Linked DNA regions of Macaca mulatta. The protein of the gene in region 1 interacts with the protein of each later gene in a biochemical or structural test. Links are inferred from orthologs where the notes say so. Each region holds a gene or a part of one and is shown on either strand. Other genes may lie near its edges.

Evidence for each region.
Region 2: the proteins of MYH9 (region 1) and S100P interact in a biophysical measurement, tested with the Homo sapiens proteins (2 studies listed by IntAct). The link is inferred for Macaca mulatta from reciprocal best matches to the Homo sapiens genes MYH9 and S100P.

The regions. Positions count from the first base shown.
Region 1 is NC_133415.1:15,269,004-15,273,839, reverse strand, and holds part of MYH9 (myosin-9), read right to left. Parts: intron 3,955-4,836; coding exon 3,742-3,954; intron 3,287-3,741; coding exon 3,142-3,286; intron 2,510-3,141; coding exon 2,303-2,509; intron 2,075-2,302; coding exon 1,970-2,074; intron 1,695-1,969; coding exon 1,542-1,694; intron 431-1,541; coding exon 182-430; intron 1-181. UniProt on the Homo sapiens protein: Cellular myosin that appears to play a role in cytokinesis, cell shape, and specialized functions such as secretion and capping. Required for cortical actin clearance prior to oocyte exocytosis. Promotes cell motility in conjunction with S100A4.
Region 2 is NC_133410.1:6,343,537-6,349,036, reverse strand, and holds the start of S100P (protein S100-P), read left to right. Parts: upstream 1-2,018; 5' UTR 2,019-2,054; coding exon 2,055-2,258; intron 2,259-5,353; coding exon 5,354-5,500.

The DNA of each region.
Region 1 (4,836 bases):
TTCCACTGGCCTTCCCCCTGGGCCCCTCGACAAGCCAGAGACGGGGGGGCCTCCAAGCGCTGCCCCGCACGGCCCTCCCGGGCAAGACCTTGAGGGAGCCTAGGCTTTCTCTGACGGGCCCTTCGCCTTGGACTCAGTGCTTGAAGAAGAAATACAAAGGATGGAGCCAGTGGCCACACACCTGGTCAAACTTCTTCTGCTTCTTCTCCAGGTTGCACGCGCTCTGGCGTTGATGGTCCAGGTCCACCAGCAGGTCATCCAGCTCCTGCTGCAGTCGCGTCTTGGTCTTCTCCAGCTTGTCGTAGGCGGCCACCTTCTCCTCGTGCCGCTGGCTCAGGCCCTCCAGGTCCTTCTGGAGCTTCCTCTTCACCTCCTCAGCGGTTTCCAGGCACCCCACACTGTCCTCCATCTTCTTCTTCATGTCGGCCACCTGGGCAGGAGCCAGGAGTAAGCAGACGCCCGAGATGGCACCTGCTCAGGTGGCACACCCGTCCCTGGGGCAGCTGGGAGCCTGCCTGCCACACCGTGGAAGGGGCACCAGGGATCCGCCCAGTTATGAAACCGCCTCCCCCAGTCACTTCCCTCTCCACGGGGGCGAGACAAATGGAGCTTCTGCAAAGGGGCATCCGTCTACCGTGTGAAGCCCGGGGGAGGTTGACCCTCAGGCCCACTGTGGGGGCTCCCAGCCCTCATCCACACCAAGCCTCTTGCTCTACGGAGACCGCTCCCAGAGAGCAGGGCCAGTGCCCTGTAGGGATGTCTGCGGGGTCCCCATCACCCAGCCCCATCCTTGCACTTGGAGATAAACCTGCAATCACGCACACTCACGGGCTGCTCCCACCCTGACTGCGGAACAGACTCCCAGCCCATCCCGAGGTGGCTCAGGCCTTCTGGCCTGGCATATGGAGGCCCAAGATAGGATCTAGAGCAGGAGCTCTGAATATATATTAGGCTACGGACCCCTTGGCAGTCTAGAGAGGCCTAGGGACTCCTTCTCATGACAATGTTTTAACAGGCATTAAATAAACATATGGGATCACCAAGGCAACCAGTACAGAAAAATGCAGTGTTCACACATTCTAAAACACCGTGGCTCAGGAAGCCACGTGCTGCTAGGTAGCACATCAGACAGCAAACTCGGCGCAGGCCCGGGAACCACGAGGCCAAGGAGCTCGGCCGCAACCCTGACAGGGTAACTGGCCATTTCTACAGATGACGAGGGTGCAGTGACTGCCACCACTGTGGCTTGCTGCCTACATCCATCATGGAAGCAATGCTGAATTTCAGCTAAAGACTGGTGAAAATAAAGGTGTAAAATAGTGAAAATAGTGGTGTCCCCCATCTAAGTCCACAGACCCCTGGATTCCTCTCCTAGGGACTCAGGCTGAAAGCCCTGATGTGGGAGAGCAGGGTGGGCTTCCCTGGGGGAGAGCAGCAATGGGCTGGCCCAGTGGGCAGGGCTGTCCTGCAGTGCCCAGGCCAGTGCCCGGCCAGCAGCTCCCCAGCCTGCAGAGTCAGGCCGGTTCCCCAGGCCTCCAAACCTGGGCATGGAGGGTGGCGATCTGCTTCTCCAGGTTGTGCTTGGCCTCCTCCTCCTCCTCCAGCTGCTCCCGGAAGGAATTCTTCTCGTCCTCCACCTGCTTGAGCTTGGTGCTCAGGCTCAGCTTCTGCCGGTTCTCCTCCTGCAGCAGCTCCTACTCGCAGGTTGAGAGGGGTGTGGGCGCTCAGGAGAGCGGTGTCTGAAACCCAGGAACTCCACACCCTTGAGGAGAGAGAGGAGCTGGTCCTGCTGATTTAGGGGATGGCCACGTAAAGACCTGATGGGAGCTAGGAGGACGCAGAGACCCACCCACGGGATGAAGGAGATGAAGGAGAGGACGGGCAGTCCGATGGGTTCTGGAGCTAATGTCGTGGACACAGGGGCCTTCCTGGAGGAGTTCACCTTCTGGGAACCTGGCACCACCCTTACCTGAGTGTCCTGCAGCTGGGACTCCAGCGCGGAGAAGTCCTTGGTGAGCTTGCTGGACTTGCTGTCGGACTGGCTGAGAAGCCCGGTCACGTTGTCCAGCTCCACCTGCACGGGGCGGGGAGACGCAAAGGACCATGGACCCAGCCCCACCGCTCCTGCCCCACCTCAGCTCCTTTACGTAAAGCTGGACCTGAGTCACAAGCTGAAGCGTGAGGGTCTGAGGAGCCGGTTTGAGAAGAGAGAGAGACACAGAGCACACATGCACCCGGGGGTCTGGGCCACCACTGCTGCTGGCACCCACTGCCCGCGCCAGGATCCCGGCGGAGGCCTCACCTGCAGCTTGGTGACCTTGTCGACCAGCTCCGTGCGCACGCGCTCTCCCTCGTTGAACTTGACCTGCAGCTCCTGCAGCTGCGCCTCCACTTTCTTGCGCTTGTGCTCCGAGTCCCCTTTGCCCTGCAGCAGCACCTTCACCTCATTGGCCAGCTCCCCCCGCTCATTCTCCAGGGTCTGCTTTGCCTTCTCGAGGTTGGCTTTTACCTGGCGGGGAAGAAAGCAAAGATGTGAGTGGCGGCCTCCTGACACAAGGCTGGCTGGTCTGTCATCACTGGACTCGAGATCCAGACATCGCTGCTGCTGCAGCCCTGACGACGGTGCGCCTGAGTCCTGGACTCAGAAGGCTCAGGCCTCATCTGTCCTGTCCTCTTCTCTCTTGGCTGGTGGGTGACACTTGGCTCCTGTCTTCACTGCTTGGGACCTCAGCTTCCCCATCTCTAAAATAATACCTGCCCAGCCTTCTACCCTGGGTAGAGGCCAGGTTCTAGGGCACGGCACTGGTGTTGCAGATGTTAGCAATATTTATAATGCAATGAGGGGAACTGTAATTGTTTGTAGTTAAGACTTCCAGTAAAGCCTGTCTGAAGCCTGATGTTCAAAGTAACGAAGTAATGTTTTCACCCTCACATAACCACATGAGACAGACCTATCATAATCTTCCCTTGTGAACAGGGAAACTGAGGCCCAAGTCACAAAGCCCCTTAGAGGGGGAGCCTGGCCTCAGAACCAGGCAGTTGAGTTGGATCCTGCAGCTGCTCTGCAGGACTGATTCGGATTCTGTGGGCCCAGCACGGGGAACCCTGCCTTCCTGCTGCGGTCTCAGGGAGGCTCCGCACCCGCTTCGTCTGCTCCAGCTGCTCCGCCAGCTCCTCCACGGCCTGCGAGTGCTTCTGTCTCATCTCCTGGATCTGGGCCTCGTGGGTCTTGGCCTCCTCCTCCAAGGTCTTCTTCAGGATGTTCACCTCCTGCTCACGTTTCGACCTGGACAGAGAAATCCCCTCAGAGTGGAGGCTGGGAGCACTGGAGCAAGGCTGTCCCTGGAGCTCTTCCCTGACCAAAGAGAGGCCTGACCAGGGCACAGGCACTCCAGGCAGCTTCTCTACCCATCAGCCCCTCCTGACCATCTATCCCATGGGCCAGCCTGAAAGACGCACTGTGAAAGGCTTCTGTAGCCTTTCAGCTTTAAAGCCCACCCTTGCCTCACCCCCAACTTTGAGTCAGGTTCTTCAACAGGCTTTCTACTCTGTAGACAGAAACCGCTGAGGAACCAGCAGCTTCCATGCCTGCTGGCGCATAACAGGGCCACGGGGCGTGCGCGCGCGCGCGTGTGTGTGTGTGAGAATGCGCGTGTGCACAGAGGCCCAGGGTCCATGTCTCCAAGCCAAGACCCCCGTGGCTGCCCTCCCCATCCCCAGGGACTTGGTCCCAGGGCACACCTGAGCTCCTGCTGGGCAGCTGTGGTATCCAGCGTGTCCTCCAACTCTGTTTTCAGCGCCTCTAGCTCTTCCCCAAGGTCCCGTTTCTGCTTCTCAGCTTTATTTCTGGAAGCACGTTCTGACTCCAGGTCTTCCTGGAGTTCCGAGATCTGAGATTCCAGCTCCCGGATCTTCTTAAGGGCCATGTTCTTCTGGGCAGCTTCCTCTTCCACTCTGCCAAAGCGACCAGCAACATCAGTATAAGGTCAGTTTCACCTCCAAGGAGCAGAGTTTGCGGGACAGGCCTGAGAGAGGTGCGGCAGCCAAAGCTGCCTCTGGTGGTCACAATCATGGCACTTAGGGTGGCTCTCAGTAGAAACAACATCTGAGGCAACCAGACTGAAGGGCAACACCCCTCTGAGAACTAGAAAACCTCATAGAGGAATCCTTTCAATTTCCAAAGTAAGATTCACTGCTTCAAATATTTTTAAAAGTCAAATGATTTGTGGCCGGGCGCGGTGGCTCACACCTGTAATCCCAGCACTTTGGGAGGCCGAGGCGGGCAGATCACGAGGTCAGGAGATCGAGACCATCCTGGCTAACACTGCAAAACCCCGTCTCTACTAGAAACACAAAAAAATTAGCCGGGAGTGGTGGCGGGCGCCTGTAGTCCCAGCTACTCTGGAGGCTGAGGCAGGAGAATGGCGTGAACCCGGGAGGCAGAGTTTGCAGTGAGCCGAGATTGCGCCACTGCACTCCAGCCTGGGCGACAGAGCGAGACTCTGTCTCAAAAAAAAAAAAAAAAAAAAAAAAAAAGTCAAATGATTTGTTAAATGGGAAGAAAAGGAAATAAAATATTACACCACAGGATGACTGTAACTCAGTAAAAATATGAAAGTGCTATGGACTTTAGATGGTTGTGAGGAGTCAACGTAGGTTCACCAATTAGAACAAACACACCACTGCACTGGGGGGTGTTGGCAGCTGGGGAAGCGGTGCGTGAGTGGGGCAGCGGAAGATGGAGAAACTTCTGCTGATTCCTGCTGTGAATCTAAAACTACTCTACAAAATAAAGTCGCTTTCTTTTTTTTTTTTTTTTTTTTAAAAACAGAGTCT
Region 2 (5,500 bases), on another chromosome or scaffold:
GGTGAAACCCCGTCTCTACTAAAAATACAAAAAAATTAGCCTGGTGTGGTACACGCCTGTAGTCCCAGCTACTCAGGAGGCTGAGGCTGGAGAATCACTTGAACCCGGAAGGTGAAACTTGCAGTGAGCTGAGATCACACCACTGCACTCCAGCCTGGGCAACAGAGCGAGACTCTGTCTCAAAAAAATATATATATATACACACACACACACACACGTATATATATATATACACACACACGTATATATATACACACACGTATATACATATATACACGTATATACATGTATATACATATATATGTGTATGTGAACGCGCTTCCTGCGGAGCTCTGCCTCTGGGCCAGGGAGTCTCCTCTCTGCCGCTCCTCTGGCTGAGGTGGTAGGATGGTGGCCTGTGCTGTGTGACCTTATCCCAAGAGGGAACTTCCCAGCTCAGGAGTGAGCAGAATGGACCTGTGCCTGCTCCCCAAGGGGTCACCAGTGGGGCCACTCTGAGCCTCCCCTGCAGGACACCTGGGCAGGGGCAGTGTGTTCTGAGAAAGCCGGCTCTTGTGAGACCTGCTGCTCCCGTGTGCACCAAGGGTTTTCTGTGTGGAGCCACAGCCCCGCGGGCACAGTCCTGGCCCATGTGCTGGTGGGGGCTGTGTTGGGAGAGGTTAGGGAACTTGCTGGAGGCTGACCCTCTGGAAGATCTCTACCGAGAGAGAGGCCTTTGAGTGTGGGCCTACTTTGACTGGGGCAGGATGTGAACACAGGCCCCTACCTCCATGCTCCTTACCTCCGCGCTCTCCAGGACTCTCTCAGCCTCCCATGCACAGGCCCTCTGAGTGCCTCCACTATAGAGATGGGGAGGGGTGCTACCGTGCCTGAGACCAGAGTCCCTGACTCTGCCCCAAGGTCCCAGGAGCCTTCGTGCTGTCTAAGCCCTGTGACTGCTCTGGGTTTGGTAAGTGCCAGGGCTCAAAAAATAACACCCCAACGTGTAAACCTCAGAAGCAAAAGTTTCTCTGTCCTGCTCCCACCCTCCTGTCTCCAACCCCTCCTTCTCCTCTGAGAGGCTTCCCCAAACCCTGCCGTAAAACCCAGAAATATGACTCCAGTTCTCCACTCCCTCCCCTTTCTGTGTAGAAACCAGCCTAAAGAAACCCTCTGGCCTGCTTTATTTGACTGGAGGTCATAAGAGCTCCATTCCAGAGAGGGGCCTACCCCACACCTAGAAGGAAGGAGAGCTGCTCAGAGAGGCCGCAGGGAATCTGACCCGACAGGCCCTGCCGGGTTCTCCTCCTGGTCTACGAGAGTCCGGCCGGGTTTTCCTCTTGGTTTATGAGCGTCCGGCCTTACTTTTGTGTCCAATCATATTTCCATACTTTGCTGAACTGTGTTTATGTTTGTAAACATGGACAGTTTCCCCCAGATCCTTGGGTCTTCATCTTGAAGGCTGCTGTGCCACATAAGCAACCATCAAATACATCTGTTATGCTCTTCTCCTATTCATCTGCCTTTTGCCCGCTGATTTTCAGCGAACTCCCAGAGGACGAAGGGGAGTTTTCCATTTGGCCCCACAGGGGAGGAGCCAGCGTGATTGAGGTGGAAGCTGGGCCTCTGAAGGACACAGGGTGTTCTAAGAAAGGGGTGACGGGGCAGATCCGTGTTCACACACACGCCCAGTGTGAATTCACTCTCAGACGTCTCCTCGTGTCAGCACGCTGGTGCCAGAACACTCTGATGTTGACACAAAGGGCCACGGAGTCACCACTCACTCCTCACACACTCACCCTGTGGCCGCTTACCCAGGGAGGGCCAGGGATGAGGACACCACGGTGGCTCAGTGATGGCCCCGAGACACAGGTGAACATTGTAAAATGCGGACGCCTGGAGGCAGCCCACACCATGGGCCTTGGCTGGGAGAAAGTTTCCAGAAAGGTCATCACAACGATGCATTTCATCAGAACTGAGCACATGAATGGGGAGGGGCAGGACTTCCTGAATGTCCCAACCCCACTGTCCCACCCTCTGTGTCAATATGAGGTTGCCTTATAAAGCACAAGAGGATGCCAGTGCGACATTTTCTCGGCCTTTCCAGCCCCCAGGAGGAAGGTTTGTCTGAATCCAGCACCATGACGGAACTGGAGACAGCCATGGGCATGATCATAGACGTCTTTTCCCGATATTCAGGCAGCGAGGGCAGCACGCAGACCCTGACCAAGGGGGAGCTCAAGGTGCTGATGGAGAAGGAGCTACCCGGCTTCCTGCAGGTGAGCCCAGGCCAGCAGTGCTGGACTCAGCAGGGCCTGGGGAAGAAGGGGAAGGCGTGGCAGGCAGAGGGCCGAGAGCTGCGGTGGGGTGGGGTCGGGTCGGCAGTCAAGGGGCTCAGAGGCAAGAGGGACAGATCCTGAAATGCCCTAGAAGCCCAGCCAAGGAACGGACCCACCTTGGCATCAAGGCAGGGGACGCTGGAGCATCTGAGCAGGGAGAGGGTATGGTCAGCTTGATCCTTGAAACATGGAGTTGACCCCAGTGTATTTGTGACAGCCCTGGTGGGAGAGTGGGGCTCAAACCTGTGCAGTGGGGGCAGGGGCGGAATGCAATCCAGGGCCGCCGTTTGCAAGTTTGCCAAGCCCTCGAACCTTCGGGGCTGTCCTCCAAGGCTGCCGGCCATAAACGCCCCAGCTCCACCTCCCACTTGTCCGCCTTCCCTGCTCCCATCCCCAGGCCCCTTGTTGCCTGGTATTAGTGGGGCCGGCAGGAAGGACAGGAGGAGGCTCCATCCTGGCACCTGTCTGCGCAGAGCTGCGGACCTCCCTTGGGCTCCCTGCCAGGGAGAAGCCACTGGCCTGAGCCTCACAGAAGGCCCCTTGGGGCGGCCAGGACCAGCTTCCTTCCACCTGGGGCAGCCTCCGTCTGGGCTGAACAGAAGACTTCCCCTCTCCGTTTCCCCTTCTCTTTGACCCCTGTCCTCTCCTTCTTTCTCACTCCCCCACTTCCTTCCTTCCTTCCCCTCCCCTTCGGGCCCCACCAGATTCTGCCAACCTACCATCTAAGGGGCTGACCCACATGGCTGCTGATAATCGAAAATGAAAGCCTGACATTTTCAGCCCTAGAATCACTTCAAAGACATGAAACACTTCGGAACATTGCTGCTTTTCTTTTCTTTTCTTTCTTTCTTTCTTTTTTTTTGACAAGCTGTCACTCTGTCGCCCAGGCTGGAGTGCAGTGGCAGGATCACGGCTCACCACAGCCTCTGCCTCCCTGGGCTCAGGTGATCCTCCCACCTCAGCCTCCCAAGTAGCTGGGACTACAGGTGCATGTCACCACAGCCGGCTAATTTTTGTATTTTTTTTTTAGAGACAAGGTCTCACCATGTTGCCCAGGCTGGTCTGAAACTCCTGGGCTTAGGCAATGCATCCACCTCGGCATCTCAAAGTGCTGTGATTACAGGCGTGAGCCCCAACACCTGGCCTCATTCTATTTTCTAAATGTAAATTCTGTAAAGATATCTTTTAAAAATAAAGTTCTGTTTTTGGTAGAAAATGTAAAAACAGATAAATATGGAGGGAAGAAATCCCCCCTGGAATACAGACTCTTCCTCTCCCTTCCAGTCTTTCCCCCATGTGAACGTTGCTGTGAGTGGGATTTATATGCAGTTTAATTTCTTTGTGAGCTTAACATTACAGCATAAAATCTCAAACTCTGATGTTCATTAAACACCCCAGCCCCATCCTGGGAACTTGGGCTTGGGGCTCGGGGTGTTCTGATAATCATCAAAGGATGAGAATTGAACCCATGAGGACTTTGATCCAAGACACCGGGGTGTGGGGAAGCGCAGGTGTCCTGGGAACACACTTTGAGAAGCAATGGCTAAGCTGGGGGTCCTCAAACTTGTGTTACATTAGAATCACCTCAGGGATCCCAGGCGCGGTGGCTCACACCTGTAATCCCAGCACTTTGGGAGGCCGAGACAGGCGGATCACGAGGTCAGGAGATCGAGACCATCCTGGCTAACACGGTGAAATCCCGTCTCTACTAAAAATACAAAAAATTAGCCGGGCATTGAGCTTGCAGTGAGCCGAGATCGCGCCACTGCACTCCAGCCTGGGCGACAGAGCGAGACTCCGTCTCAAAAAAAAAAAAAAAAAAAAAAAAAAGAATCACCTCAGGGAGGCCCCGGGTGTCCTTCTCAGCCCTGCCTCCAGATGCTGCTGAAGCCTAGCAAAGCTGGAGTCGGAGTCAGAGAACAATGTCTGCCTGAGGGCAGGGCTGGGCTGGCCTTGTGGCCTTATCTCCTCCATGCCCAGCCCAGGCCCCACTGTTGGAGCTTTGTAAATACGAGGTGACTGGCTACAAACTTCGTAAACATCACTTGAAATGGCCGCAGGGTATTGTGACGTGGCCAAACCACTATTTGTTTGCTATTGAATTTATACTTCCCTGCCTTACTTTTGCTATTAAAAAACCATGCTGTCACTAAGGTTTTCATGCACACAGTTGTGTCTTGGTCAGACGATCTGTGTCTACCAATTTTAATTGTTTTTTTCCACCTGGACACACGGCTCTCTGGCCCAGGGCTGGGTCATCAGCACCCCCTGCTGCTGCTGTTCAGATCTGCATCCTGGTCCCGCTTGGTCCCATAGTGAGAATGCTTTGCCATCACATGGGCAGGCTCTGAGAGCCCTGCCGGCCTGGCCTTCTCAAAGAAGACCTGAGAGCTTGGGACCCCAAGCCAGGGTACCCAAGCAGAGAGGAATAACAGGGCTCAGGGTGGTCCGTGCTCGCTCCACACCTGGGGCTCAACCCTGGCTTTCCCTGGCTCCCTGTGTGACCTCAGGGCAGGCCCCTTGGGCCCTCTGGGCCTTATCGTCTTCATCTGTAACAGGGCGATGCCTCTGCCATGCCTGGTGGTGTTGAGGAGTTCATGTTTGTGTAAGCAGCTAGTTCAGTGCCAGCACGAGATGGGATGCCCATGACGTTAGCAGTGCACAAAAATATAAGAGCAAGGACTGGACGCATTTCCTGAGAACAGCCATCACTGTAAAGCACATTACAAATCCAAAGACAACCCCCTGCAAAAACTAAAACTGAAACTCCTTCTCGCAGAGCACAACACAGTTCCCATTTGCTCTAATAACATTCAGAATTAGTTCATGTCATGCCAGATAGCTGAAGGCAGCTCACAAGATAAGGCCAGGAACGCCATGTGTCTGCTATGCACAGCTGGCCCTGGCCCTGAGCCTGAATGATAGCACAGGTGATGCAGATGTGGGTGCCCTGCTCCTGCCCAGCAGTGGTGCTTGGTGGAGGCTGAGGCCTGCACAGGGCCTCGCTGCTGACCTTGGTCCTCTCTCTCCTCTAGAGTGGAAAGGACAAGGATGCCGTGGATAAACTGCTCAAGGACCTGGACGCTAATGGAGACGCCCAGGTGGACTTCAGCGAGTTCATCGTGTTCGTGGCTGCAATCACGTCTGCCTGTCACAAGTACTTTGAGAAGGCAGGACTCAAA